Cricetulus griseus: one gene and its partners. The protein of the gene in region 6 interacts with the protein of the main gene of each other region in a pairwise test. Links are inferred from orthologs where the notes say so. Each region holds a gene or a part of one and is shown on either strand. Other genes may lie near its edges.

What was found.
Region 1: the proteins of Meox2 (region 6) and Spry1 interact in binary tests that used the Homo sapiens proteins (3 or more experiments, as listed by UniProt). The two-hybrid records come from large-scale screens. The link is inferred for Cricetulus griseus from reciprocal best matches to the Homo sapiens genes MEOX2 and SPRY1.
Region 2: the proteins of Meox2 (region 6) and Fkbp6 interact in binary tests that used the Homo sapiens proteins (3 or more experiments, as listed by UniProt). The two-hybrid records come from large-scale screens. The link is inferred for Cricetulus griseus from reciprocal best matches to the Homo sapiens genes MEOX2 and FKBP6.
Region 3: the proteins of Meox2 (region 6) and Pacsin2 interact in binary tests that used the Homo sapiens proteins (3 or more experiments, as listed by UniProt). The two-hybrid records come from large-scale screens. The link is inferred for Cricetulus griseus from reciprocal best matches to the Homo sapiens genes MEOX2 and PACSIN2.
Region 4: the proteins of Meox2 (region 6) and Pak1ip1 interact in a two-hybrid assay, tested with the Homo sapiens proteins (2 studies listed by BioGRID). The two-hybrid records come from large-scale screens. The link is inferred for Cricetulus griseus from reciprocal best matches to the Homo sapiens genes MEOX2 and PAK1IP1.
Region 5: the proteins of Meox2 (region 6) and SWI/SNF-related matrix-associated actin-dependent regulator of chromatin subfamily E member 1 interact in binary tests that used the Homo sapiens proteins (3 or more experiments, as listed by UniProt). The two-hybrid records come from large-scale screens. The link is inferred for Cricetulus griseus from reciprocal best matches to the Homo sapiens genes MEOX2 and SMARCE1.
Region 7: the proteins of Meox2 (region 6) and cysteine-rich hydrophobic domain-containing protein 2 interact in binary tests that used the Homo sapiens proteins (3 or more experiments, as listed by UniProt). The two-hybrid records come from large-scale screens. The link is inferred for Cricetulus griseus from reciprocal best matches to the Homo sapiens genes MEOX2 and CHIC2.

Annotation. Positions count from the first base shown.
Region 1 is NW_023276806.1:112,081,566-112,085,724, reverse strand, and holds the start of Spry1 (protein sprouty homolog 1), read left to right. Parts: upstream 1-1,359; 5' UTR 1,360-1,600; intron 1,601-2,217; exon of another isoform or gene 2,218-2,327; intron 2,328-4,028; 5' UTR 4,029-4,083; coding exon 4,084-4,159. UniProt on the Homo sapiens protein: Inhibits fibroblast growth factor (FGF)-induced retinal lens fiber differentiation, probably by inhibiting FGF-mediated phosphorylation of ERK1/2. Inhibits TGFB-induced epithelial-to-mesenchymal transition in lens epithelial cells.
Region 2 is NC_048597.1:114,392,199-114,395,698, reverse strand, and holds part of Fkbp6 (inactive peptidyl-prolyl cis-trans isomerase FKBP6), read left to right. Parts: intron 1-1,576; coding exon 1,577-1,771; intron 1,772-2,153; coding exon 2,154-2,263; intron 2,264-3,500. UniProt on the Homo sapiens protein: Has an essential role in spermatogenesis. It is required to repress transposable elements and prevent their mobilization, which is essential for the germline integrity.
Region 3 is NC_048595.1:380,363,478-380,367,615, reverse strand, and holds the start of Pacsin2 (protein kinase C and casein kinase substrate in neurons protein 2), read left to right. Parts: upstream 1-1,338; 5' UTR 1,339-1,480; intron 1,481-1,599; exon of another isoform or gene 1,600-1,731; intron 1,732-4,138.
Region 4 is NC_048596.1:260,643,183-260,647,205, forward strand, and holds the start of Pak1ip1 (p21-activated protein kinase-interacting protein 1), read left to right. Parts: upstream 1-1,223; 5' UTR 1,224-1,334; coding exon 1,335-1,418; intron 1,419-4,023. UniProt on the Homo sapiens protein: Negatively regulates the PAK1 kinase. PAK1 is a member of the PAK kinase family, which has been shown to play a positive role in the regulation of signaling pathways involving MAPK8 and RELA.
Region 5 is NC_048600.1:113,343,731-113,348,004, forward strand, and holds the start of SWI/SNF-related matrix-associated actin-dependent regulator of chromatin subfamily E member 1, read left to right. Parts: upstream 1-1,474; 5' UTR 1,475-1,613; intron 1,614-3,410; 5' UTR 3,411-3,455; coding exon 3,456-3,462; intron 3,463-3,638; coding exon 3,639-3,682; intron 3,683-4,274. UniProt on the Homo sapiens protein: Involved in transcriptional activation and repression of select genes by chromatin remodeling (alteration of DNA-nucleosome topology).
Region 6 is NC_048598.1:164,594,808-164,599,022, forward strand, and holds the start of Meox2 (homeobox protein MOX-2), read right to left. Parts: upstream 2,801-4,215; coding exon 2,287-2,800; intron 1-2,286. UniProt on the Homo sapiens protein: Mesodermal transcription factor that plays a key role in somitogenesis and somitogenesis and limb muscle differentiation. Required during limb development for normal appendicular muscle formation and for the normal regulation of myogenic genes.
Region 7 is NW_023276807.1:141,527,611-141,531,110, reverse strand, and holds part of cysteine-rich hydrophobic domain-containing protein 2, read left to right. Parts: intron 1-286; coding exon 287-442; intron 443-3,500.

The DNA of each region.
Region 1 (4,159 bases), on a different chromosome or scaffold from region 6:
GAGTAATTAAAGCTGTTCATTGCTCCCTGTCCTCGTTTTATCACTGACCTCCCTGCTAAATTTATGCAGACAACTGAGAAGTGCCAAAAAAGATACTCTGGTATGATACTGCATTAGCGATTGGACCCTTCCAATCCAGTCCTAAGAAACAGATCCACAGCTGTCAGGCCTTATTACATTGCTACCTCTGTGGGAAAATAGACAAGATACAAAAGCCCCACCAGCTTTACATTTGAAACTATGACTTTAACACATTTCCTAGCATGAAGGTGAACAGACAGCTAGCTTCCTGGCTTCTAGAATGTTCTATTATCCTCTAGTGGCCTTTCTTATGGAGGATGTTCTTTGCAGGAGTGTCCTGGATGTCTCCCATGCAATTCCACACACAACTGTGAGTTCTAAAAGCATTTAGATACTTGAAAATGAAGTATGCAAAAACCAACATCAACAAAAAGCTTTTAAAAAAAAAACCTGCTGTTATTGTTAACACTTTAAAAAACTACTTTGAGCCCAAAACATCCAAACTCACATTGATGGATGATTTAGACCCTGGAGATCTGTTGTTTATCAAAACTATTCCTGATACAGTTCCCTGGGAAAATATTTCCTATTAACAATTTTTGGGGTCTTAGGTTATTTTAAAAACCCTCTATGGAATTTTTAGTTCCACATATAGTTCTTTTCACTTTGTCCTGAGCTACATCATCCCAATAATAAATGTCCAAAATCCCAGAGTTTGTAAGGAAACAAAAAGCATTCCCCACTTACTAGAGTCCCCCTACCCTGTGACAGACATGTAACTAAAACTAAAGCTTCTTCATGAGTTATTCTTATTTTACTTGCTTTTTGTTGATTAAAAAAAAGTTTGTGTTTTTTTGACAAAATTATACAAACATTACAAAATAGCAAGGACTTACTTGGGTTTGTTTTTTTTTTTTTTTTCCGAGTAATTTTTGGGATCATACCATAAACCGAAACGGAACAATCACTAAAATCCCACAGCAGGAGGGATTTCCTGCTGTGGATCATTATATTACATTTGCAAAAGTGACTGTCCTTTCGGGAACTTTCATACTGTATCAGCACACATTTTCCCTGGGGCACGGTGGAGAGGTGTACAAGTGTTTTTGTTGTTGTTGTTGTTTTGTTTTTGCCTACTGTTCTTCACAACTCTTTTCTAACTCATAAGGGTGAACGCATCGGTTTCCTTAAATCGGAGGCTGACAGCTCACTGACTATCAGGGGCCCTGGAACATGTGTTGCTGCCCAGTTGAGCTCAGAGGCAGTTTTTTCGGAGCGTCCTCGAGTCCACATCCACGATCGCTAAAATCCTGCTCCGGGTTTTGGCTCAGCCCGCGTGATTGACACATGATATCACCGGGGGCGGGTCCCAGCGTGGAGGTGGAGGTGGCGGCGACGCTGAAATGCTGCGGAGCCCGCGCGCGAGTGCTCAGCACGCAGGAGTTTGCGGCGGCCCCGCAGCCAGAGCTCTGCGGGCTAAGAAGCAGCTGCGCGCGACGTGCATGTGCCGGGAAGGCCGGCCCCGGGCTCTGCACTAGGCAAGAGCCTTGCCCTCCCGCCCAGGACCTGGCGAGATCAGGTGAGAATGGTGCTTTTTTTTTTTTTTTTTTTTTTTTCAAGGACCGGACGTTTTCGGATCTGGCTCTAGCTTGGTGCCCCGCGCTGGGCGCCCGGCCCTGCAGCTGGAGAGCTGGCTCCTTTCGCTTTCCCGTAGCCGGGCAGCGAGTTCCGCGTGTGCGGACGCGGGCTGGCATCGCCGCGCACCCGCGTGTCTGTGCGCATTGTTGGCGACCGAGCCGCCGGGCGCTCGTGCCAGACCTGACTTTGCAGTCCCCGAGTGCGGGCTTGCCGCGAGCAGACGCGCCGTTCGGACGCGCTTTTCACTGCAGGGCATTCCGTGGGGGCAAAACGTGCACGGCCGCGTGTGTCCCGGGCTCGTGGCTGCCCATCACCGCGAGGAGGACAGCGTCCCGGGCTGGCGAGGGACTCACGTGTTTCTGTCTCTGCTCGTCTGCAGCCGGCGTGGCGACTGCGGGGACGCGGACCTGCGGGGACCCGAGCGCCCGGGACGACGCCGGGCCGCGCGCCTGACGACCGGGACGGGACGGTGCTGTGGAGCGGGCGCCGCGCGCACCCGGCGGATGTCCCGGAGCCGCCCTCGGCCGCCGCCAACCGCGGAGAAGCGCCCCTGCCCCGGGGCCGCCGAGGCCGCAGCGCGGGCTATGAGCGCCCGGCCGCCCCGCCGCGCTTGATGCGGCGCGCATCCCGCCCGTTCGGCGCCCCGGGCCGGCGCCGCGGAGGCCGAGGTGAGTGCGGGCGGCAGGTGCGGGCCGGGGCGGGCCGGGCGATCCTGGCGGTCGTCGCGCAGCCCGTGCCAAGCGCGCGGCACCCGATGGCGCTGGGGAGCCAGCGGCCGCCTATGCTCGGAGCGCAGTGCCTCGCGACGCGGGGAGAGGGCGCTGCCTCCTCCCGCCCGCGAGCTGTTTTCATTCATAACTTTCCCCAGCCCGAGCCGCTGCGGCTCGGTGTCCCTGAGGCCTATGTGCGGGCTCACAGAATTGTCCGCGCGCACCCGGCTGCTCTCCGGGCGGGTGCGGGCGCCGAGGTGCTCCGCCAGAGCGAACTTGCTTGGGAATGCCCTGTAAAATGCGAATTAAAGCTATGCCTGGGGGTTTCATTACTCAAGCCATTCCCACGTCTTCCTTTCTTGTGGATGAAACTTGGCACATTTAAAGTCTTCGTTTTGGAGTTTTAAGTTTTTTAAAATAGATAGGGCACGGGAGTAACGACTGGCTGTTTCCCATTGTCATTTAGGGGTTCGGTACTAAGACGTGCTGTTACAGATGTGTTTCTCGTGTTTGGGGAAGGTAGAATAAACTAGAGGGGCCCCCAAGAAGCTAAACATGTAGTCTAGGAGCATCCGTAGCAAACTGCTTTTCCTTGAGACGTTTTGTTTTCTTTTGGCACCTAATTCAAGTGCCGTCTTGAATTAGGGTGCATCTGTGGGTTTGGAGAGCATTTGTGTGAAAAATATCCTAGATACCTACTGCCCGGAAACGGGAAAGTCAACTTTTGCTCTGTTTTAGGACGAATGCATTATAAATTGTAAATTATTTCTTGACGTGAAAACGTGTTTGTTGTGACGAGATATTAGTGTGTTTACCTTATTACAAAAAGCAGCTCGATTCAGGGCTTGTTGAAAATCAAGGTCTGTGGTGTAGATGAATGAAAGGAAATAAAGATAATGCAGAGACTAGGGCTCCTCTCCCTGCTCTGTAGGTTTGACACTTGTGCATAGAAGTTATTCATGTTGGTGAGTGAGCCTTGTTTAACCTTTAAAGAACCTTCTATCCAGAGTTTGTGTGCATGCTCTAGCGCCAGCAAGACAGCTAGAGCCGCTGCCTTCTCCATTCCTTGTAGATTCTTTTTCTCATCTCACAGATGAGCTTTAGATCCGGACTTGTGCCCAAAACGGCCTATTGAGATTCACGTGAGCTTGGAATATCCAGTGTTTTGGAAATTGCCTTGATTAATTTTCTCATTAATCTAAAGCTCTTAACAGCGAACAAATGGCCAAGAGGCCACAGCACTAAAGCCATTCTTAATCTTTAAAAAGTAGCTGACATTTTCCTTACGTGAACTGCCAGTGAACTGATAGTGAACTCTCTGAGAACAGTTCCAGGGCGCGCACTGAATGCTCCCTTCGAAGGCATATTTCATTTTAATTATTTGTTAGGTTTGCAAACAGGAAGACATGACTTCCTCTGCTTTTTAGAAGCTGGAGAGCAACTTCTAATTTTTGTGGCATGAGGTCTTGCTTGCTTTCTTCCTGTGATGTGGCCCTCCACAATCCTTGTTTTTGGAGTTGGACTCCTGCCAGGATTCTGCATCATTGAAATCAGCCGATGGAGGCGATCATTGCCAGGTGGTTTGGGCAATTTGTTACTTACAGGCGCCCCCCTCCCCAAAATGCTTTCTCATTTATTTTCTCTCTCACTCTTCTTTAGGATTTCCGATGCATGCCAGGTTTCTGCTGACTGCCGGAACCGGAGATCACTCCACATGGATCCCCCAAGTCAGCATGGCAGCCACACTTCCCTAGTGGTGATTCAGCCACCGCCTCTGGAAGGCCGTCAGA
Region 2 (3,500 bases), on a different chromosome or scaffold from region 6:
CATCTGCCCATTCCAGAGTCAGCAGTCTTTGTTTATTTAATTTCTCTAGAAAACACACCTCCTGGGCTAGGGATTCAACTTGGTGGAATTGACATGCATGAAACCCTGGGTTTCATCCCCAGAACTGCATAAACCAGATAAAATCCCAGGATGGAGACAGGAGGACCAGAGGTTGAAGCTGGGGCTGGAGACATAGCTCAGCGGTTAAGAGTACAGAGGATCTGAGTTCTGTTCCCAGCACTCATATCAGACAGCTCACAACTGCCTGCAACTCCAGCTCCAAGGGATCTATTATCTCTGTTCTTCACGGGCACTGCATTCATGTGCATATACCCACAGACAAGCACACAGATACGCATGCATACACATAATTAAAAACAAGAAATTGAAGGTTATCCTTTGCTACATAGTGAGTTTGAGGGCCATCCTGGGCTACATGAGACCTTATCTCTGGCATGGTGGTATATATCTTAGTCCCAGTATTTGGGAAGCAGAAGCAGGCAGATTTTTGTGAGTTCAACGCCAGCCTGTTCTGCATATTGAGTGAGTTACAGGATAACCAGGGCTATATAGAGAAACCCTGTCTCAAAAAAAGCAGCGATGAGGTGCTGAAGGGATGGTTCAGTAATTTAGAGCACTTCTGCTCTTACAGAGGACCCAAGTTCAAGTCACAGCACCCATATAGTGGCTCACAGCCATCTATAACTCATAAATTCAGTTCCAGGAAATATGATTCCTTCTTCTGATCACTGGGTACTAGGCACACATGTGGACACATACATACAGGCAAAACATCCATACATAAAATTTTTACATCAAAAGAAGCCAGGTATGATGGCTTACACCTTTAAGCCCAGAAGGCAGAGGCAGGCAGATCTCTGAGTTTGAGGCCAGCCTGGTCTACAGAGTGAGTTCCAGGACAGTCAGGGCTAAACAGACCTTTTCTCAAAAACGCACGCACGCACTCACATGTGTGTGTATATATGTGCACATATATACATTTAGTGTCTATGTTTCTGGGGGGGCGGTATGTGCATATGAGAGCCCTGTTGCTAACAGAGGCCAGAAGCATGGGATTCCCCCTATAGCTGGACTTACAGACAGATGTGGGCCACCTGATGTGGGTGCCAGCTTGTCTTTGGCTCCTGTTGAGTACACTGTCCATATTCCTTTTGAGACAAAAGAGTAGAAGATACATATTGTCTGTCTCACTCAGGTTTGCATGCCTTCTCCTGTTAGAAACTTCAAACTGGACCAGAGAGGTGGTTCAGTCGTCAGAAGCATGTATTGCATCCACATTAGGAGGTGCAGGATTACATGTAACTCCAGTTCCAGGAAGATCCAACACCCTCTTTTGGCATCCACAGTCACTGTACTCACATGCACAATCCTATCCCATCCCATATACACATAATTTTAATTTAAAATAATAAAAATAACTCTGAAAAAGAAGCCTCCTGACTTTACTATATTAACCTTGTGTCCTGAGAGCTAGATGGATTTCTTTCTTAGGTCAGTTTTTCTGTGTGACTTGTAAGGATCCCTCCTGACCCTTTGCCTTTCCTCCTCTCCTCAGGCCTTGCTGCTGCTTCACCGACGCTTGGCAATCTGTAAGGAGCAGCACCTGGTGGAGCCTGCTGAGCTTCTAGTCCTCCTTAACCTGTCTTTTGTGTACCTGAAGCTAGACCGACCAGCCATGGCCCTGCGTTATGGGGAGCAGGCTCTGCTCATTGACCAAAGGAATGCCAAGGCCCTCTTCAGGTGTGGACAGGTGAGTTGAAGATAAATGAGAAGGAAGTGGGGAGAGGGGCTGAGGCAATAACTCAGTCAATAAAGCACTTACCAGGCATGCCAGTCTGGTAGCCTGAGCTCATTCTCCAGAGCCCAGGGTGCTAGAGCCCCACACTGAGGAGGCAGAAACAGGTAGACCCTGGAGTTCACTGGCCAGTCAACCTAGATGAATTGGGAGCATTGGAGCCTAGAGGAAGATCTTGTCTTAAAAATCAAGTGGGCTGCTCCCTAGAAGGAAGCGAGGTTGACCTCTGGTCTCCATCCACATGTGCACTTATGCACTCCCACACAGAGCGATAGGTCTCACTTGGCCACTAGCACAAATTCTAATCTCAATCTAATGCCCTGTCCCTTCCTCACAGGCTTGTCTCCTTCTAACTGAGTATGAGCAGGCCCGGGATTTTCTAGTGAGAGCTCAGAAGGAGCAGCCCTGCAACCATGACATCAATAATGAACTGAAGAAGCTGTCCAGGTGAGAGCACAGACCACAGTGAGTGGTAGCTGTAAGAATTCTAGTTGCCCCCTGCTGGCTCAGAAGCAGCCATCCCTTCTTCATGGTCCTTCATTCATTGTCCTGACCTGGCTATTCCTGAGTGGGGAAGCTTCACTTCTAAGCATTTCCCTCTTTCCTGTTGTACCACCTGCAGATCAGCACTCCCTAGAGAAGTGGCTCCATGCAACTCCTGCGTGTGTGTGTGTGTGTGTGTGTGTGTGTGTGTGTGTGTGTGTGTGTGTGTGTGTGTGTGTGTGTGTGTAGGTATAGGACAGAAAACAACCTTGAGTGTTGTGCTTGGGGATTCAACAGTTAGATTGGGCTGGTGACTAGTCTCAGAGAGCCTCCTGTCTTCATCTACCCCCCACCCCATGCTGGAATTACAGACACTCCATACACTGGGTCTGGCTTTTTAACATGGTGCTGAGGATCTAAATTTGGGTCCTCACCTTACCAACTGAGCTATTTCTGTAGTCCCCCATGTGACCTTTAAAAAGGGTGTTGTAAAGCCAAGTATGATGGTCTACATCTATCCTAGAACTTGGGATATGCAGACCTTCTAGGGTATAAAATAAGACACTGTCTCAAAAACGAGGAAGCTTAGCAGCTGAGAATCCTTGGCATTCAAGTTATCCTCTGACCTCCATACATGGTGTGCACATGTACATACTAATAATATAATAATATAATAAATAAATGTGCAAAAAGCCTTTTTAGATCTCATCAGCACTCAGGAAGCAAAGGCAGGTGGATCTCTGAATTTAAGGCTACCCTGTCTACAGAGTGAGTTCCAGGACAGCTAGCGCTACACACTCCTTGCCTTGAAAACCCAAAATCAATTAATTTTTTAAAAGCTGTACTTAAGACTCTTACCTATTTCAAAATCACGTGAGACCCATTTTTCCTCATGGGCCTTTCTAGGACCACAAATGAGCTGGTGCTGTGTGACTCATTCATAAGTAAGAAGGACATTAATCTTTTGGAAATGTTAAGTTTTGGGAGGTCAGCAAAATGGTTCAGTAGGTAAAAGCTCTTGCTGCCAAGCCTGATGACCTGAGTTCCTTCTTAGGACCCATATGATGGAAGGAGAAAACTGGTTGATGCAAATTGTTCTCTGACCTCACAAAGACACTTGAACTCGCCCCCAATACATACAAGAAAAATGTAATTATAAAAATGAAAAATGAAAGCTTTATAAAAAAGTGTGACTTTTTCT
Region 3 (4,138 bases), on a different chromosome or scaffold from region 6:
ACCTTGAACTCCTGACCCCTCCTGTTCTACCTACCAAGTGCTATGCTACCACACTGGCCTTTTCTGTTAATTTGCAGGGAAGTTGAGACAGGTTCTCATTATGTATCCCAGACTGACCTTGAATGTCTCTGTCTCCCCAAGTGCTGGGATTATAGGCATATATCTCCATATGTAGCTTCATTTGTTCATTTGTGCCAGTATCTTTCGGTGTATCCCTGGCTTGCCTGGGCCATTTCCTCTTTTTCTTCCAATTAGAGTCTAATTCTGTTGCCCAAGCTAGCCAGGAACTCTCAGACATTCTTTTGTAGCAGCCTCTTGAGTGGATTACAAGCCACTATCCACCGCCATTTACTCTTTACTCCACATAGTACCCAGAAAGTTACCTGCAATCAATTTCTCAGACCCTTTCTCGGGTATCTCTGACAGTGTGAGGCAGTGCTCAGGAAGTTATTAGCTTTTTTGACTCATTATCATTTCCCTCTGTTCCTGGGGCTAACGCCTTATCAGGCAGGACTACTGTGAGAATCAAAATGTCTGTGCATTGCTTGGTGCCCTGAAGGCTTGTCCTCTGGAGGGAAGTTTCTCCACTCCACTTCCTCTTCTTTTTTGTTTATTAAGACACTGCTCTCACTATGTAGCCTTGGCTACCCTGGAACACACTATGTAGACCACGGTGGCCACGAATGCAAAGACACCCGCTTGCCTATGCCTCCTCTGTGTTGGGATTAAATGCGTGCCCTACCACTCCTGACTTGGAGGAAACTTTTTAAATAAAAAGAAGTGTGTGTGTGTGTGTGTGTGTGTGTGTGTGTGTGTGTGTGTGTGTGTGTATGTTTGCCCTCACCACGTGCGTGCCTGGTGCCCACAAAGGGCAGAAGAGGGCGTCAGATTCCCTGGATTGAAGTCACTGACCGTGCACATGGGTGCTTGGACTGGAACCCGGGCCTTCTGGAAAAGCAGCAGTCTCTGCAGATCCGATGAAACTTTCTTAAAGTTCACCTTCTCTAAATTCTCGGTCAGGCACCACAATGCTCCTGGTTGCTAGGAAAACCACGGAACTCTGGCCTGTCTAAGATAAAGTCCTACAGACCCCAGCCTCAGGGCGGCTCCTGGGGAGTGACCCATGCTGGCCTTTCAGCTGCATAAGTAGGCGCTCCTCGTTTGACTGACAGGGGAGGCCGCTAATACTCACCCAGAGTAGTCCCCTTGAGCGTGCTTGGGGGCGTGCTGCCTCTGCTCCGGTCTGCCCAATCCGGGGAGCGGAAGGGGTTGGAGGGCGGGGCCTTGATCCCGGCAGCCAATGGGAAGAACACAGCGGGCGCGGCGGGGGCGGCGCGGTCTTGGCTGGCGGCAGAAGCTGCCGCGGCGGGTCTGGGCAGGGCCGGGCAGTGAGCTCGGCTGGAGCGGAACGGGAAGGGGTCGGAGTCGCAGCCTGGCCGGGCGGCGTTCATAGCGGGACCCGAGGCCAGCGGCGGTCGAGGTGAGGGGTGCGCCGCGACGGTTGAGACGCGGGTCGGTGGCCGCGCCTACCCCTGTCAGGCCGCGCCGGGGCCGAGCTCGCGGGGGCGCGCCGCTCGAAACTTCTAGTCCGCGCGCAAGGGGCCACGCACCGGCGGTAGGAGCGGGGGAGGCCCCAGGGGCGGCCGGAGCGGGCCGGACCCATGCGGGCGTACTCCTGGGGTGCTTTGCGGACTCCCATTTCCGTCCTTCCCACGCTTGGTGTCTTCGGTGGTGAGTGCCAAGCCTGCCTGGTGAACATGACCTAGGGGTGTGTGGAGAGACAGGAAAGGCTGGATGCTGTCCTTTTGACTTTCATAGTTTTCTAGACACGTTGGATCCGAAGTGTCAACTGCCTCTCTCCTCCAGTGGGGCTCAAAAGCCGCGTTCTTCTCTCCCTAAAGACTCCAGGCTTGCGGAGGCCCCCCTCTCAGACGGTCGGCTTTTCTTTCTTCAGGACTGGATCAGAGGGGCTGGCAGGGGACCTCATGGCCTTAGAGATTAGACCTGGAAGTAGGCACGCCCCAGCGATGCTGCGTTCTTGTTGGGTCCTCAAGGGAAGATGACTTTGGTCCGGGGTTTGCACACCATTCCTGGCTCTTGCCGTCTTTCCTTGACCGCAGCTGCCCTGGGGTTTTGTGATTAAGGGGAGTAGGTTGCTGACGGTCTCCAGGGCTACTCATTACGATGTTTAACAAACACTCCTGCTCTGTTCTGATGTAAATCTATTTAATCCTGAATGGTAGATGTGAGCTCACATCTTCCTCTCCCACTGCAGGTTTTTCAGTTTGCTTAAGTTCTGTTCTTGTGCCCCTAGGCTTGACAGCTTGGAGCCCTTCGCAAAGGGATCATCCAGGTGGGCAGTGTTCTGTGTTAGACCCCCTTTTCCGTCGTAGGGTATTTGAGCACTGAATGAGTGCCAGTCTAGTTGGGATTCTTTTTGATTTACTTGGAACACTTTTGGTTTGTACATTTACATTTAACTGTAGAGTTTGGCAGTCTCCTGGTGAAGCTATCCTGAGCCATGAGGCCATTACATGAAAAACTTGTGTGATGTGTGTTTTTTCCCCTGTGGTCTGGAGACTTTAAAGAAACTGACCATTAGGCTGATGGGTACTTATTACGTGGGAAAGTAACTGAGCACAAAGGAGTAGAAAGAAGACTGATTAGATGTCTTCTGTCTGTGCAGGATTTTTTTTTCCCCCTTCAAGACCGGGTTTCTCAGTAGCCCTGGCTGTCCTGGAACTCCCATCTATTGACCAGGTGGCCTCAAACTGGCAGAGACCTGCCTGCCTCTGCCTCTGGAGTGCTGAGGCTAAAGGCTTGTGTCACCAGCGCCCCGCAACTGTGCAGGATTTTTAAAGAATAACTATTCGTTGGAATAGAAATGGTATTTTAGTTCATGTTGTTTTGAAAGCTAGAACTTGTTACTTCTGAACACAGTAATTAATCCAAAAGTGTGTGCATGCAAGATATAACATCTGTTAGAGGCTTTTGCTTGGTCCAGAGTGCCAGCACGGATTTCTGATGGCCCCGCATTTCGGGATGTTATGGAATATCAAATAATAGCAGTAAATTACTAACTGGCACCTTGTGAAGTATACCCAAGTGCTCTCTGGCCAAGCTCACCTGAAACCCAGGTGACTGACTCTGGCCTGCCTTATCTACATCCCATTGTATTTGGCTTCCTGGAGGCCACCCTTTAGATTATGTAGGTAATTATCATGTTCACAAGAGCTGTAGTGCCTGCCCAGTTTTTTTCCAGTTGTTTGGAACCACAGCTGCATACCTGAAGGCAGCAGAGGGAGGCAGGGCTTCAGTTGATTTGCCTGCTAGGGGCAGAGTCCTTTATGGCCTCTGCATATATCCTACTCACTCCTGAAAGTAGGCCTGAGAGCAAGGTCTAAGTGGGCCTTAACTTGTTCCTCCTGATGGCTCTGGCATGGGGATGGCTGTTTGAGAGTTTTTTTTTTCTTTCCGATTTTTAATATTCAGATGGTTGTGCTGACTAAAGACCATCTTAAAAGAATAGGTTACCAAGGCCTTGCCGGGGGTGGTTCAGTCAGTAAAGCACATAATGTGCAAACATAAAGGACACCTGAGTTCAAATCCCCAGCAAAAAAATAAGACCAGGGCAGGGAGATGGCTCAGTGGCTAAGAGCATTCACTCTTACAGAGGACCTGGGTTTAATTCTCAGCATCCACATGGTACCATAACCATCTGTAACTCCAATCTCAGGCGCTCCTACACCCTCTTCTGACCTCTGACGGCATCAGGAATGTACATGTTGCACATACATACATGTAAGCAAGCATTCATACTCATAAAATTAAGAAATCCTGCTGGGCAGTGGTGGCACATGCCTTTAATCCCGGCACTGGGAGGCAGAGGCAGGCAGATATAGTGAGTTTGAGGCCAGCCTGGTCTACAAAGCAAATGCCAGGACAGCCAGGACTGTTACAAAGAGAAACACTGTCTCGAAAAGCAAAAAAAAAAAAAAAAAAAGCAAAAAAAAAAAAAGAAATCTTAAAAAAAAGTGGTGCCTGACATCAATCTCTGACCTGCACTTACACACACACACACACACACACACACACACACACACACACACACACACACACACGGCACTTGCCTTTGGGA
Region 4 (4,023 bases), on a different chromosome or scaffold from region 6:
ATTAGCACTAACTGAAGACACAGAAATTAGTTAACACAGGGGTTTCGACTGGACTGTGTGCGGGTTTGTCAGTAGAGTAGTCCAAACTGGAAGAACACAGAACTTCTCCTCACAATTCAAAGATCATTTCCCCATACTCAAAACTTTACCGGTTAACTATGTAGATAATTTGTAGCCTTGGAGAACAAGTGTCTCAAAGAAATAAAGTCTAAGCACTTAGGGACTTTATTCGTTCACAGGCTTGTGTGAAGACGACCAGGCATAAGCACCAACTAACCCACCCGCAATGGCGTATGCTCTAAACCTCTGAGGTTCTCGGGAAAACTCATTTTTAAAACATCCCTGGCCGGGCGTTGGTGGCACATGCCATTAATCTCTGCACTCGGGAGGCAGAGACAGGTGGATCTCTGTGAGTTCGAGGTCAGCCTGGTCTCCAGAGCTACACAGAGAAACCCTGTCTCGAAAAACCAAAAAGTTCCTGACCCTGTCTAAAACTTAAGGAATCCTCAATGTTAAAAAAATTTTAAAAAGGCTGTCATTGCTTTCGTTACCCTCTGCTCTAAGCCTCCTAACCCTGGTGGAGGTGTACCCTGGAGCAAACCTAAGTCTTCCACTTTGAACGTTCCCGTCCTCCTCCCTCCAGGCAATCTTTCATCTCGTGCCCAGCATGGCCCGCAGCTCACTAGCGTTTAGATCCCAGAACCCTGCTGGCAAGAAGGGCTGAGCACGGCACGGTCTGGCCTGCGGGCCGGGCCCTCGGTCCAGCGAGGGGACACCGCCAGCTCCGGCGGCGCCCGGGAGCCCGGACCGTCACCGTGCCGACCCCGACACAGAAAGGTCCCCCAAATGCTCTCTGCACAACAGCGGAACCCTTGGCTTTGGAATCCGAGCCACGGGAGCTGCGGGAGGAACGCAGGTTCAAGGAGGGAACCCGCCCGGGAGACACAGCGGGAACCCGTGCGTGCAAACGCCGAGGAAACCGGAAGCCGGAAGCCGGCCCGCCCCTTCCATAGACCCATCGGAAATTGGGGCATTCGCGGAGTATTTCCCGCCCACTTCCCAAGGCCCGCCCTGCTCACGGCTTTTCAGGATCTGCCTGTTTGCCACCACGTTTTCCTCTCTGCTGTGAGCGCCCCTGCCTGCGGCTTCGTTCCTCCAGCTCCACGTAGAAGGGCCACGTGACCTTCGAGCGTGCCCTCACTCGCTACAGACGCAGGCGCCTAAAAGGTGCCCCTGGGTGATGACGCGTAATGTGCGCGCCGAAGCTAAAAGAGCCGGCCTCCTCTCCTCGGGCTTCTACGCCGGCTCGCCCTGCGCCGCACGTGCGTTGCTGAATGGAGCTGGTCGCTGGCAGCTACGAGCAGGTCCTGTTTGGGTTCGCAGTGCACCGCAAGCCCGCGAAGAGTGGCGACCGGGAGGTGAGAGACCGCGGGCCCGGGGCTGCGGGGCACCGGCGGGGAGGGGAGCCCGGTTCCCTCCCGGGCGGACACTGCGGCGCCTGGTGGTGTTTGCTGGGTCTCCGTAGATAATTGTTGGAGGGCTTGCGTAGAAAACAGACAAGCTTATGCCGTAATCCCAACTCCAGGGAGACCGAGGCAGGAGGATTGTGAGCTCAAAGCTTGCGTAGAAAGACACTGCTCTTTACAGAGTAGAGGCTTTTCAGAATGAGATAGTATCTACTTGTTATAGTAGTTAGAAAATGCCTACAGACTGAAACGAAAACGTGGATCGCAGTGTGGAAAGGAGGTGAACGGTTGTCAGGCTTTGGGGCCAGGGGACCAGGATAGGGAGGTGATGGCTAATGCTTGCAGAAATGCAGCTGGATAGGAGGAATGACTTTTTTTTTTTTTTTTTTTTGCTTAGTAAGATAACTATTCTTGTAACCTAGTAAGGTAACAGTCAATTGCATGTTTTAAAGTAGTTACTAGAGAATATTTTGAATGTTGTCAAAGACATGACACTTATTTGAGGGATAGATAGGTTGTTTCTTTTTTCAGATCTAACTACAATGTATTGAAATATCACATTGTGCTTCATAAATACATGCAGTCATTGTATGTTAACTGAAAGGAAAAAAAACTTAAAGCATTCTCAGGGCATGAAAAAGCTGGCATTTTTAACACATACAAAAATGAGGTGAGCATTTAAGCTGAAAGTTAATTTAGATGTTCAAGTTCTAATGTAAAAATGACTTTACCTTTCACTGAGTTTCTATCCTGATTAACAAAATATTACAGCTGGGTTGGGATCAAGACAGTCATAGAAATTCACTATTTCTTGTGACTTTACCGTGGGTAGGGAGACAGGGTGACAAGGTGCCAGAGGTGTGGCTCCTGTTCTGGGAACCGTCCTGATTGAAGGGCTGGTGAACAAGGGAGAGGAAGACATAGAGTGTAGCACAGTGTGAAAATTATTTTTATTAGGTATGAAAATAAGCAGATCTAGGTAATTGCCAACATGGTAGTCAAACAGTAAACAGGGCCACATACAGGACTAGAACTGTGATCCATTACTCCAAATGATAACAAGCCATATACAGGACTAGAGATGTGATCCAATACTCCTCATGATAACAGGGCATATACAGGACTAGAACAGTGATCCAATACAGGACTAGAGATGTGATCTAATGTTACAGATGTTTACTTCTGGAACAGTTCCACTTATCGCCTACAAGTCTGTTTTGTTGGGTACTACCTTAGTGTGTTTTTTGTTTGTTTGTTTGTTTTTGTTTTTGTTTTGTTTTGTAATATGCTTGTTCCAGATGCACAGCAACCCTGAGATAGATACAGCCATTCTCATTTTACAGACAAGCAATTGGAAGATTTCTCACAGGCCAAGAGACTGCTCAAGGCCACACAGTTTACAAATATAACATGTCAGGGCCCACGGGTGTTTCCTAGGCTTACATTTGTAACTTTACTAGGTGCTGCTTCTAAATCTAGCCAGTAACCATGGTAACAAATACTTATGTATTTGGACATAAAGTTGTAGAATGGTTGAATCAGATGGCCCATGTCTACTCAAAAGGCTGAGACAGGAGAATTAAGAGTTAAAAGTTTAAGCCATCTATGATGGACATGCCTTTAATCCCAGTACTCTGTGGGTAGAGGCTGGCAAATCTCTGGTCTGCATAGTGAGTTCCAGGACAGCCATAAATTATACAGTGAGACCCTGTTTCAAATAAAAAAAAAAAAAAAAAAAGGAGGAGGAGGTATAAAATTGCCTGGGTTTCATAGTGACTTCAAGACCAGCCTGGGCTATATAAGTAGAATTTTAAAAGAAGAAGGGGGGGGGGGTTAAAGTCACAAGCTCCAGGTACATTGTGTCTTGAGTCAAAGGAGGCCTATTGCCCCTGATTGATGGGAGGACTGTCTACTGCTGTAGTCTTTAGGACTTGATGTGTGGGGAGATTCACCTTAGGCATCATGCAGAGAACTTTGCTGGGGTTTCTTGTTTTGTTTTCTTCTTTCTTCCTTGACTAATAATACCTTTCCACATAGCTCCTTCAATTTGAAGAGTACTGTATGTGTGTGCGTGTGTTCTGTACTTTGTACTCATCCAATCATGTTTCTCAAACCAAAAACATATAGTAGTGAGCATCTGGTCCCTGAGACTCATTATTAGCAGTTCTCGAGGGCTCATGTTAGTGTTAATGAGAATATACCCACATGGTCTTATTTTTCTTTATAGGACTTATCATATCTTATAACATTAATTAGTTTTGTATTTCTTTTCTTGGAGTGAAAGTTGCATTTGAATAAATACCTCTGTTTGTTGTTATTTCTGCTACCCATAGTGGTATCAAGCATATTTAATAGAGATGAGAGAGAGTAGGCAATGTTACTGGAATTAATTCACATAGAAAGTTGAACATTTGAATGAATCACTGATATGGAAGCCTGTATGTAAGTCTCCATTACTGGGATCTGGAGATACGCCACCAATCCTAAATTCCCCTTGTTACACTCCTTATTCAGGTCTCCAGTCTTTTATTATTACCTAGTTTTTCTCCATTTGGTT
Region 5 (4,274 bases), on a different chromosome or scaffold from region 6:
GGGATTAAAGGTGTGTACCACCACGCCTGCCTGGCCTCTATGGTTAACTAGTGGCTAGCTCCACCCTCTGATCTTCAGGCAAGCTTTATTTGGTGGAGCACAAACAAAATATCACCACACACGGTTCCTCCCCCACACATCCCCTTTTCTATCACTCCACCCCCACAATCGCCAAAGCAGGGAAGTAGCAAGGCTGGAGTTGCTGAGCAGAGCTAAAGATCCTGGACCCCTGCTGTGACCACTCATCTGAAAACTCTCCTTTAGTCTTTCAATGTGCTCTCTCATCTCGTTCATTTCTGCTCATGAGTATGAAAATGCTGAGCCACGGAAGAACGGGACAGTATTATCACTTACCCCTGACACTACAGACTTCTTCTAAAGATACCTCATTTCCTGTTGTCACAACCAGGATAAGGGAAAACAGGTAGTCCCAGTATTCAGCCAGTTTCTCTAAGTGATAACTTTGTCCTTAGATAACCACAGGTCATCTGTTCATTTTTCCTCCACCCAGACTCACCTCAGCTAAGTGTTTCTATACTTCCTATAGTCCGCCTAAGTGCTTGGAATTAGAAAAAAAAAAAAAAAAAAAAAAGGCCCTTGGAATGGTCCAGAAAGGTGCCTCTACACACACTTACTGAGCACCTAATTACCAGCCTGGCCCTTAGAAACCAAAGGGTAATTATAAAACGGTCCCGTCCAGATGTCTGAACCTTAGTTCCCAAGACTTTCCAAAATTAACAGATGGCCGAGTCCCATACAGAGGATCTCAAGACACAGGACTACAAAGAAAGGACTGGCCTGGGAAAGTTCCAGGAGGGCATCATAAAGAAACAGTTGAGCTTGGCTGTCTGAAGCCAGGCTAAGCTGAATTGGTTCTCCTGGAAAGAAATGTAAATTGTCATAGGTATGCGACCTGGTGAGAGTGAGCTGCCAGCTGCGGGCCCTAAGCTCAGAAACCCGTCGCCATCACTCAGCCTCTAGAAGCATCTGGAAAACTACAAAACTCCCGTGTTGCTTTTCGCTGAGGCTGAAGAGGCAGGGAGCCCTGCTGGGCGCCGGCGAGGACCTAATCGCGGCGACCCGAGTGCTCCCCGCCTCCACCCTCCTCCATCCTGCAGCGGCGTAGTGAGGACCACGGCGAAGGGAGACGCCGGGGTGCGGGAGCTGCGTCCCGCCCTCTCCCGCGAGAGGCTCCGGCGCGCCTTCGCCCGGCGCGGGTCTCACACGGCGGCACCACCGCCTCGGAGACGGAATCCCCGCCGCGCTCGCGGCGCAGTGGCTGCCGCCCGGCCGCGAACCAGCAGCTGAAGCAACGCGGCCGGGCCTACTCCGCCCTCCTCGCCGTGACGAATCGGCGCCCGGCTGGGACGGGACCCAAACTGGAAGAGTTCTGAGGAGAGTGTGGAGCCTGGAAAAAAAAATCCTCGGCTGCACTAAGCCTCGCCGAGTCCTCCCTGGAAGACCCGATCGCCTGAGGAGAGCCGGCCGCGGCCCGCGGAGAAATCCCGGAGCGTGTGGAAAGTGCGAGCGCGGAAGCTCCGGCGCGAGGGGCGGGGCGAGCGCGGGACAAAGGGAAGCGAAGCCGGAGCTGCGGGCGCCTTTTCGGCCCGCGGGTGAGTGTTTCCAAGTGGGCCCAGCCCGGTCGGGGAGGGTGGCGAGCGCCGGTGTGTCGGCTTGGCGGGACCCCGAGTTCCCGCGGGGTGCTGGGGATCGGGCTCAGCTCCGAGGCGGGAACTAGGGCCCGTGCGGCCTCTGTGAGGCCTAGCGGCGGCGGGGTCGCAAAGAAGCCCCGTCCGGGACAGCTGCTCCGAGGCGCCGCTTGTCCCTTTCCGCCGGACCCCCGACGCCGGCCGAGCCCCGATGCACACCCTCCTGCGGGGGGGTTGCCAGAAAAGCTCATCCTGGGCCACAAACTCCTTGGACCTCCGGAAGCCCTCCGGGCAAGGCCAGCGGGGTTCCTCACCCACCTGGAAGGAAGGTGGTTCCCCTTTTTGGTTCAGGCAGCGACCTGATGATTCCCGGGGTGGCCCGGAGTGAGGAGTGAACTCCGGGACGGTGTGGGTTGGGTTTAAATCCACCTCTGGCTTTAGACATTTTATCTTCATCGCCCTGAGACTGTTTCTTCATTTGTAAAATGGGGACAGCCGTATGTATCTGGTAGGGTGGTTGTGAGTAGTGAGCGAGACTGTGTCATAAGCCTACCTTGTAAGGTAATTAATTATTCAGCAAATACTGAGTTCCGTGCTAGGCACAAGGGTTAGATCCACTCTTAAGAGTTTATATTATCTTAGCCCAGGAGAGCAATCATTTGAACATATTCGCAGTGAAGTGTAAGGTAGCACGGACATTGTTACAGTTTCTGTCGGGGCTCCCCACTGCAAGGCCTACTAGGTGTTGATGGAAGGAAAAGAGAGGCCTGGGTTGAAAACCTAAGCTGCTTCCACATCAGAACTCTTACCCTGATGATTTGAGGCATTTTCTTAAATTGAAAAGTAGAAGAAGAAAAAAAAAAGTATTTTGTTTTACATAGTGTTGGATGAAAGTGCTCCAGAAGTCATAGTTTTTTCATCACCATTTGTGGTGTATGTAGAGTAAGGATCGAGCTCACATCTGTCCATGTTGTGAGCTGGTAACACTAGGACCAAATTTATGAAGAATTGGGCTAGGTTTGAGCAATACAGTAATAAATTAGACAATCCCTCCTCTCTTTCAAGACAAAACCTAGCCATATCCCTATCTGATACAGAGAAGATGCAATTATTCTGCCCAGATAATTTATCAGGAAAATACCTGGGATAATTTTTTAAATGGGCTGTAAAGGACCAATACGAGTCATCCAAGTAGACTAAAAATTTGCCCCAGTACTTACAAAACTATTTACCAATAAAAGACAATGTAAAGTTTGTTTTTATACCAGATTATCTTTCACACTACTTCCAGGAATAGGACATTGCTCTGCGTCAATAAACAGTGTCCCCTAAAAGAAGCAGAGCTGCTGATCAGGAATTTGTCAGTATCTGGTAGGCCTTGTTGGGGTCACCCTGATAATACATCACATTCTATTGTCATTATTTTTTTTTACCAGTCTAAGTAAACGTTTGCATGGCATCAGCAAAATGTTTTCCATATAAGACGTGGCTCAATATCATAAGCAAAAACCTAAAAATCCATCTCTAATATAACTCTAAATTTCCCAGTAACTTATTTTCATCATTTAATTCTGATCAATCAAATGACTACAAGAACTAGTTAAAAAATATGCAAAAGGCTTGATTACTAGTGATTAACAGTGAAGTAATTTTGCTCAGAAATACCAATCAAACTACCCTATTCTTTAGGAAAACATTCTCTTATGCTTGCTGAGTTTTGATTCTCTTTTTTTTTCTTTTTTTTCTTTTTTTTTATTTTAGTGTCTCAGATTCATTCTTAAGGAACTGAGAACTTAATCTTCCAAAATGTCAAGTAAGTTTCAATTTTTATATTTATCAATCTGTGTTAATACAAGACTAATGCCCTAGCGAATGGGAATTCCAAAATACTCTCATTTTTTTTTCTTCAAAACAGGACCATTGGTAGTTTTGTTGCATAGTATTATATCTCAGTTGTTTACAAGAAGTTATTTATTTTCTTTCAAACAGAAAGACCATCTTATGCCCCACCTCCCACCCCAGCTCCTGCAACAGTAAGTTTTAATTTTCTTGTTAATGTAATAGCCAAGTCTGGCCTTGATACAAAAACCCAGATGTCTTCCAGTGACAGTCACTCAGTCATCACAGCCACAAGATAGCAAATTCAGCTAAAAATCAGCACTTCCTACTAAATAAAATAATTCTTTTCGTCCTACTTTGAACCAAACCTAACATCTAAAAATACATATTATGAGCTTCCAACCTCCTGTGCTCTGTTTTTCCCTAATGGGAAATGAGTGAAACACTTCTTTCTAGTTTTTCCTGTTAAAAGAGTCTTTAAGTTGATTGAGTAAATGCTCATTCTGGCATTATTTATTCTTTTGTTGTTGTTGTTTTTAAACCTAACCTTCAACTGGTTACATTTTTCTCTCTAAGGGCTAGGGACATAGCTGAGTGTCAGAGCACTTGCCTAGCATGTGCAAGGCCCAGGTTGGAACCCCAACAACACAAATTTTTTAATTAAACTTTCTTGTCTATCTATAAAATTTTCACATTAATTAAAGTTTCTATTTCTGCAGATAACTACACTCATCATAAATCTTATTTTCAAGCTGTTCAAGTTAGGATTTCATTACCCGTGGGTCA
Region 6 (4,215 bases):
GGCTTATGCGTTGATAAAAGAACAGTATTATAACTATTTTCTATGTTACTTTATCCTCTAGTAAGTCAAAATGTTTACACAAGAGTATCAGATGACTTGATCTTCAGTTGAATGTTCACTGAAAAAGGCGATAGATGGCTTGGAGTTAAACTTACCTATGATCTAATCGATGTTAACTCAGAGATTGAACATATAGATTTTATTTTCAAAGTGTACCAAGACAACTGATGCTTGCCTGTGATGGCCTATCAATGGAAACATTCTTTCTACGTTGGTCCCCATGATAGTATCCTTGCTAATGATCATACTTCCCGTTCTTGTCAAGCGTTACTACACCCCCGGTTGACACAAATTTCTATTCTGTTTGCTTGTTTCTATGTTCTAAAATGAGATTCACAACATGAAAACAAGCTTCCCTTTGCTGTGTGGTTATTTTCCATCGGTAAATGTGATGGAAACGACTGTTAGTCAATTTTAAGTCGGTTTTTATGAAAATAACTTAAGGATGTAAATTTTTTAGTCCTACTCTCCATTTCTGCAACTAAAAATAACTGTGGCCCAACAAAAACTCCTTCGAGTGCATAAATAATCTTTAGGGCATTGATTCAGCTAAGAAGCTGGCCATGGTTTCCCCTTGCAGAAAGAAAAAGTGCTTCTGGCTCTTGCTGTGGTAGCTACCAACCTGCTGAGGCCATCCAAGCACTCCAGTTCATAAATGCCCAGCCTGGGGAACCCCAGTGCATTCTAACGTTTTCACTGGTATCTTTTCAATAGCTTAGAATTTCCTATGTAGTTAAAGATAACCACTGCAAATCAATGACAGTGCTGGTAAATTGCTTAGACACAGCTAATCATTGTGGAGCATTAAAAAGTCATCCCCGACCTAGGAAAATAAAAGTTCAACCATCAGGTTGGTAAGGGTCACCCCACAAGGAGGCCAAGAAAAGTTTCTGTCATTTTTCAACATGATTTAAAATACACAGCAGTTACTGCCATACACTGCAGAACACCTGGACTAAATTGCCTAACATGCTACATTCTTTTCCATTATTTCCAATGCCCAGATTCACATTTCCTAAATCTCCATAGACTAACACAAAAGATTAAATAGATGCAAACTTTTTTTTTTTTTAGTTAAGTGACATCTTCCAAAGTATGTACCCAGGTTGCCATGTTCCTTCAGAGCAAGATGCAATTAAAAAGGAGGAGGAGGAGGGGATGAAGAAGGAGAAGAAAAAGAGAAACATCTTAATAATGAGAACTATAGCTAAGGGCGTTATGTGCTGTCTAGAAACTCAGTTTCTCTGAACTGCCACAATGCACTTGCTACTGAACTTTCAGGCCCTGGAAACCACTGGGGAGAAACCTTTGCTTTAGCTGCTCAAGTAATCCACACTTTCGCTGTTCACTCTGCTGCATCTTCTCCCACCACTGTCCGAGCTGCTCTTGTGCTCTCCGGAGCATCTCAAAACTCTACTCAAACAAGGAAGGCTTTTACTTTCCACTTTCGAAGTTCAGGGATTTTTTTGTTTGTTTTGTTTTTGTTTGTTTTTTTCCCATAGGATAGCCTCACCTGAGTCTAATCAAGAATGACCTTTCTTCAAATCCTCATCCATTTATTTATTCACGATTTTTAGATGTATTTCTTGAATACTTCTAGATTTCTAGATAGTGCCTTTTTCGGCAAATAAGTTAAATGCTTTTTAAAATTATTACTATTTTAAGTAGAATGCTATTTACGGAACTCTGAAAGCGAAACGTTAAAAAAAGAAAAAAATAAAACTTTTCTTTCGAGTATTTTGTCAAATCCCAGTTAAAGTTCAAGATATTGAGCAATAGTCTAGAAATCCAGTTAAGGATGGGAAAACTCGAGCTGTTCAGAATTGGGAAATTGTAAGGGAAAAACCAAGAAGCGCATGCATGCACACAGGCATGAACGCCCAGCCGATGCAACATCCCAAGGCTCACACCCCTCCCAACTCGTGGATGGAGCGCCATGCTCCTTAACCGATTTCGCATACTGTCACTCGCTCTTTTTTCACCGCCGCTGGAAAACTAGTTTATGGTCTTGTAGGGCTTTGAAGGGGCTGGACGTAGATATATTAACCTCAGCGAAACACGTGCTCCCAAATTACAGGGCCGAAGCTGCAAGGACGAATTCGGCCAGGCCACTGAGACTGGAAGAGCTAGGTATTCCTTAGTTTGTCTGTGAGAACCTTCTCGCAAATCCCTGCCCCTTCCCAGCCCAGGGAACACTCTCCTTAGAGGTGCTCTGCCCGCACTCACCTGAGCTGTCGCTTTTCCTCTTGCTGCCACTTCTCTTTTCTACATCCGCGGGTGACAGCGCTTGGCGGCCATAGTCCCCTGGTGCGCACGCGGCCCCGGTCGGGGTGCTGGAACCCAGACTGGATGAGTTGGAACACAGGACCGGAGGGCTGTTCCCCAGCTCCGGAGGCCCTCCCGAGTCGGGCTGCAGGCACAGGCTGTGCCGAGCCGCGCTAGGCGGGGAGGACATCTGCGGGAGGTGCCAGTTGCTCTGCAGAGCCTGGTGCTGCTGCTGCTGGTGGTGGTGATGGTGGTGATGGTGGTGGTGGTGGTGCCCCCTGTGATGCTGGCTGGCAAACATGCTCTCCTCGTTGGGGTATCCCGCGATTATGCAAGACGAGGAAGATGTGGAGAGTTCGGGGTAGGACATGTGGTCAGATCTTCCATGGAGGGCCAGAGAAGACTGCGAGAAAGGGTGCAAGCCTTGTGCTGTGGCGTGCGGGCTGCGCAGGCAGCCAAAGAGGGGGTGTTCCATGGCATGCAAGTCTGGACTTCCAGGCAGAAGACTTCACGATGGTCCCAAAGGCCACCAAGCTCTGTGACTTTTCACTGGAAATCCTAGAACTCTTTTTTCCCCCCACACTCACACACTCCCTAAGAGTCGCGCCTTTGAGCAGAGCTGGCTAATCCCAGTCCAGAGCCTTAGCGGCCAGTCTCCTGCACATATAAACACTGGGACCTGGAGGAGCTTCCCTCGCAGCTGCTCAGATGTCAAATGTGGGAGAGGTGGAAGCCAAAAGAAGGTGGTCCCAGAGAACTGCTTTCACGGGGGGGAAATGGCTCAGAGAGGTTATAAATAGAGTGTAATGTGAGCTGGGGGCTGGCTTAGGAGCCCAGAGCTGACCACATGCAAACTCTCTCCAAAACTCCCGCTCACTCAGCGCCACCATGCTCTCTCATTTCCAGTTCCCAACTGCTGGCAGGACAGGAGCGGCTGCTCCACGCCCGCCCGGCCCTGGGAGCTTCCACGACAGCCAGTGGAGAGTCCAGAGCCTTAATAAGCAGGGCCACCTCGATCTGTCCCATAGGCTCCCAATGGCCAGGCGCGCACCCACTCTCAGTCTCGCTAAGCCAGCACCAAGTGTCCCGTCCCGAGTCTCTTTCAGCTCTTGGTGGGGGTAGGGGTGGGAGTCACCTGCAGGAGCTCCGGAACTGCTCCCTGACCTTGCGGACCAGGAGAACTTATGAGAATTCAAGAGAAGGGAAAAGGCTAGAGCAGTCTAGCTTTTCAAACTCCGATACTCGCAGTTCCCGCGCCCGGGAGCGCAACATGGTTTTCCCCTTTCAGTTGTCTGAGGATAGGTTGTTAAAGATAAAATAAAATAAAATAAAATAAAATAAAACTGATGCCAGGTTGGAAGTTTCAGGGCTGTGCCCCAATGATAGCATAAAGCTGTTCTAAGTGCGGAAAAGAAAGGTACCTGGTTGAGTGAGGGATGGAAAGCTTGAAGCAGAGATGGACTCAATTTCTGATGCCCTGGCATCACACAAGTGCTGCTCCAACTTGTGTCTCTTTCCTCCTTTTTCAGACCCTCCTCCCACCTCTCTTTACTAGTCCAGCTCGCTCAATTTCCTAACCATTAGCTCACCGAAAGTTTTCCTAGGTCAGTGATAATCTGAAGCAATGTCAAATGAAATGTGCTCCCAGTTTAACTCTTTAGGAGCCAATCGACAGCCCCCTCTAATCCTTCCGGACAAACATTGTCTTTTTCTGTCTGAGGTGCTCTTTTCACCCTTTCTGTTTCTCACCGCTTGTCTGTTGTAAGCAGACACCACACTGAACACTCTCCAGTTCTCTCTGCTAGGACTGTTCAGTTCCCCCAGTTTACAGTCTCCTCCTGGAAAAGAACTACACAACTTGCCACTGGTGGATTTTGGAGAGCTGGGGAT
Region 7 (3,500 bases), on a different chromosome or scaffold from region 6:
GTGAGTACCTCTTTCTGTTTTGTTTTGTTTTGTTTTTGAGACAGGGTTTCCTGGCTGTCCTGAAACTCTCTGTAGCCCAGGCTGGCCTCGAGCTCAGAGATCGCCTACTTTTGCCTCCCAAGCGCTGGAATTAAATGTGCACACTACCACTGCCCGGCGAGTGTCTCTCTTACTGATCTACCGTCTATATGTCTCAAATTAGTTTTCCTTAGAAATTAGAAAAATGTGCACTAAGACCCATTTATCAGCATTTATCATCTCAGTTGCATTTTTTCCCTTCTTTTAGGTAGCTCCTGAGGAATTTAAAGCCAGCATCAACAGAGTTAACAGCTGTCTTAGGAAGAATCTTCCTGTAAATGTGCGGTGGTTGCTTTGTGGCTGCCTGTGTTGCTGCTGCACATTAGGCTGCAGTATGTGGCCAGTTATTTGCCTCAGTAAAAGAGTAAGTTGAAGTGCATCTTTTAATTTACTTTAGAAGTGTGAAACAAGTCTTAATTTTACCTTTTTTTCTGTTGAATGAACCACACGTTCTGAATATTATACAAAGATATATCTGATCTGGTAAAGCAAGATTAATTAAGTAAATTATCATCGAACCAAATGTTATAAGATAGCTATGTAGAAACTATTCATAATTTTTGTGCCTTAGGAAATTAAGCTCAAAGAAAAATGCAGCATTATGTCTGTGTGTATATTAATATGGACTAGAGTGGTCCAGTGTTCAAGGATGCTGGGCTCATCTCTACCACTTACCTCCGTGTCTGTGACATATTTCTTATCCTCTTTAAATCTGGCTGATACGACTGTAAAATGATAATATTCACCTATGATTTGAGTAGAATTATTGTGAGGATATAATGAAATCTTATTTATAAAGCTCCTAGCCATACAGTGTATGGGAAATTCTGTCAGCTTCAATGCTATTTCAAATATACAAGAGAACACTTTAAAAGGAGGAAATATATACTTTGACTCATGGCTATGCTAGCTCTATCACTTCTCTGCCTGTCCAAGCAAAAATGTCATGGTGACAGAGCAGAGCTGCTCGCCTTACAGTTACCAGGCATCAGAGAGGGAAGAAGGGGATTGGAACAAGATGAATGTAGCCCCTGAGAACAGAGCCCTACCCATTTCACTAGGTCCATCTCTAGACATTTGAAACACCTTCCAAAAGGCCATCATATTAAGAAACCATGAGTGGTTTAATCCATTGATTAGGTTGAATTCCTTATGATCCAAATCACCTTTCAGTGTACAGGATCTCCCAAGCAAGTGTAGCATTGATTCAGCTATACCCAAAGCTCTCCATTTACTTTTTAAATTTTTATTTTATGTATGTGAGTGTTTTGGCTGTATGTATTATATATGCCACATGTATCCCTGGTGCCTATAGAGATTAGAAAAGGGCATCAGATTCCATGGAACTAGAGTTACAGCTACTTGAGTGTCCATGTGAGTGCTGGGAATTGAACCCTGGTTCTCTGTAGGGCAGTCAGTGTTTCCAGCCACTGAGTCCTCTCTAGTTCCTACAAATAAGCTTTTGGAAGGATACTTCAAATCCAACTCATAGTAGCGGTTGTCAGTAAGGATTGACTAGCATTATTAGTATGCGAGTCCCATGGAGAAAATAAATGGTTACAGTAAGATAATGGGGAACTCATTTTAATTTTTTACTTTATAGGTTTTCTATGATGAATATACAACTGACTCTGTGATTAGGAAAAATAATCCAAGGACTTGATTTTCACTGCTTAGAATGAAAAGATTCTAAGATGTTGGTTATAGATATGCCAAAATAATGCCAATTAAAAGTTGTTTTCTTAAAGACATTGTCTAACTCTGTAGACTTGACTGGCCTGGAACTCACTATGTAGATCAGGCTAGCCTTGAACTAAGAGATCTGCCTGCCTCTGCTTCCCAAATGCTCTAGGCCTATGTGGTCATGCCCAACATGGCACCTTTGTTTTTGTTATCTTCAATATATATATTTACATTCATATTATATGTACATTTACATACATATTACATTCATATGTATTTACACATATGAAATTGAAGTAGTATTCATCCATGTGTGGTAACTCACATATGAAATCCCAGCACTCAGCCAGGTGGTGGTGGCTCACACCTTTAATCCTAGCACTGGGGAGGCAGCCTGGTCTACAGAGCAAGTTCCAGGACAGGCTCGTTCCAGGACAGGCTCCAAAGCTAAAGAGAAACCCTGTCTTAAAACAAAAAAACAAACAAACAAAAATCCTTGCACTCAAGAGGCTGAGACAGGAAGATTGTGAATACATAGTAGTTAAAGGCCAGCCTGGAAAACCAAAAGTGGGCCTGGGGGTAGGAGAACTAGTTCATCAAGGTGACTTTAATGTTTTTCTATGAAAACATTTAATTTTGTTGGCAAATAATGGCAAGGAAATGAAAGAAACCACATTTAATTTATTACTTGATTTCCATTATAAAGTTAGAAAAATTTGAGCTAATATATTTTATTGATAGAATGGACATGATGCCTTTACATTAGAATTACTTATACATTATTTATTATAACATTAGAAATATTTACATTTCTTTAAAAGTTTTTTATTATTTACGTGCTGAGCCGGGGAAGTGCAGGTACTACAACGAGTATATAGGGGTCAGAGGAGAACACTGGAGTCAGGTTTCTCCCACCTTTAAGTGGGTCATTGAGCTTGTGTGGCTGGGGCTTTTTTTGCTGGCCCTACTTTCTTTAAGATGGGATTTTACCCCCATAATTCTTGCCAGATTGTCTCTAGGTCACAAAGAATCTATCTCTGGTGGCCTTGGATTCACAGTTGCATTTGCTGTCGTCTTAGTTTGGGCCCTCTCACTGCCTTCCACTATTGAGAAATTGCCATTGTTTGGGTGGCTGCCTAGCTCATTAGGTTGTTTTTGCTGTTATGTGACCCACAGGATTGATGGCCTTTACCTTTTGGATCTAGCCTTTTTGTTTTTGAGATTTGTTTTTTCTTTTTCTTTCCCTCCTTCCTTTCCTCCCTTCCTTCCTTTTGCTTTTTAAATGAGTAATACGAGATATTTTAATATGTCGATGGTATATTTAGAAGACAAAGGTAAACACCTTATACTTTGCTACACATTTTGATAAACTTAAGATCCATTTTAATCTGACTCCATGAGATCCTTTTAATTTTGAAACATAAATGGTGCCTTTTTTGCTTTTCTTTAAGACAAATTATCTGTTGCTTCAGGAAGTGTGACCTGTTCGGTCTGTAGTGTTTGGTTCAAGATCCCCATCTGTATATGTGACTAGGTGGAACATTTATTTGATGCATGTAATTTTTTTTGTTTGGGGTTTGAATTTGGAGAGGATCTCATGTTGCCTAGGCTGGCTTCAAACTCATTGGATAAAGGGTGACTGTGAACCCCTGGTCATCCTGCCTCTGCCTTCTATGTGTTAGGGCTACAGGTACATGGCCTGCTTGATGTATTTAACTTTTATATGGTGTCTAGTGAGC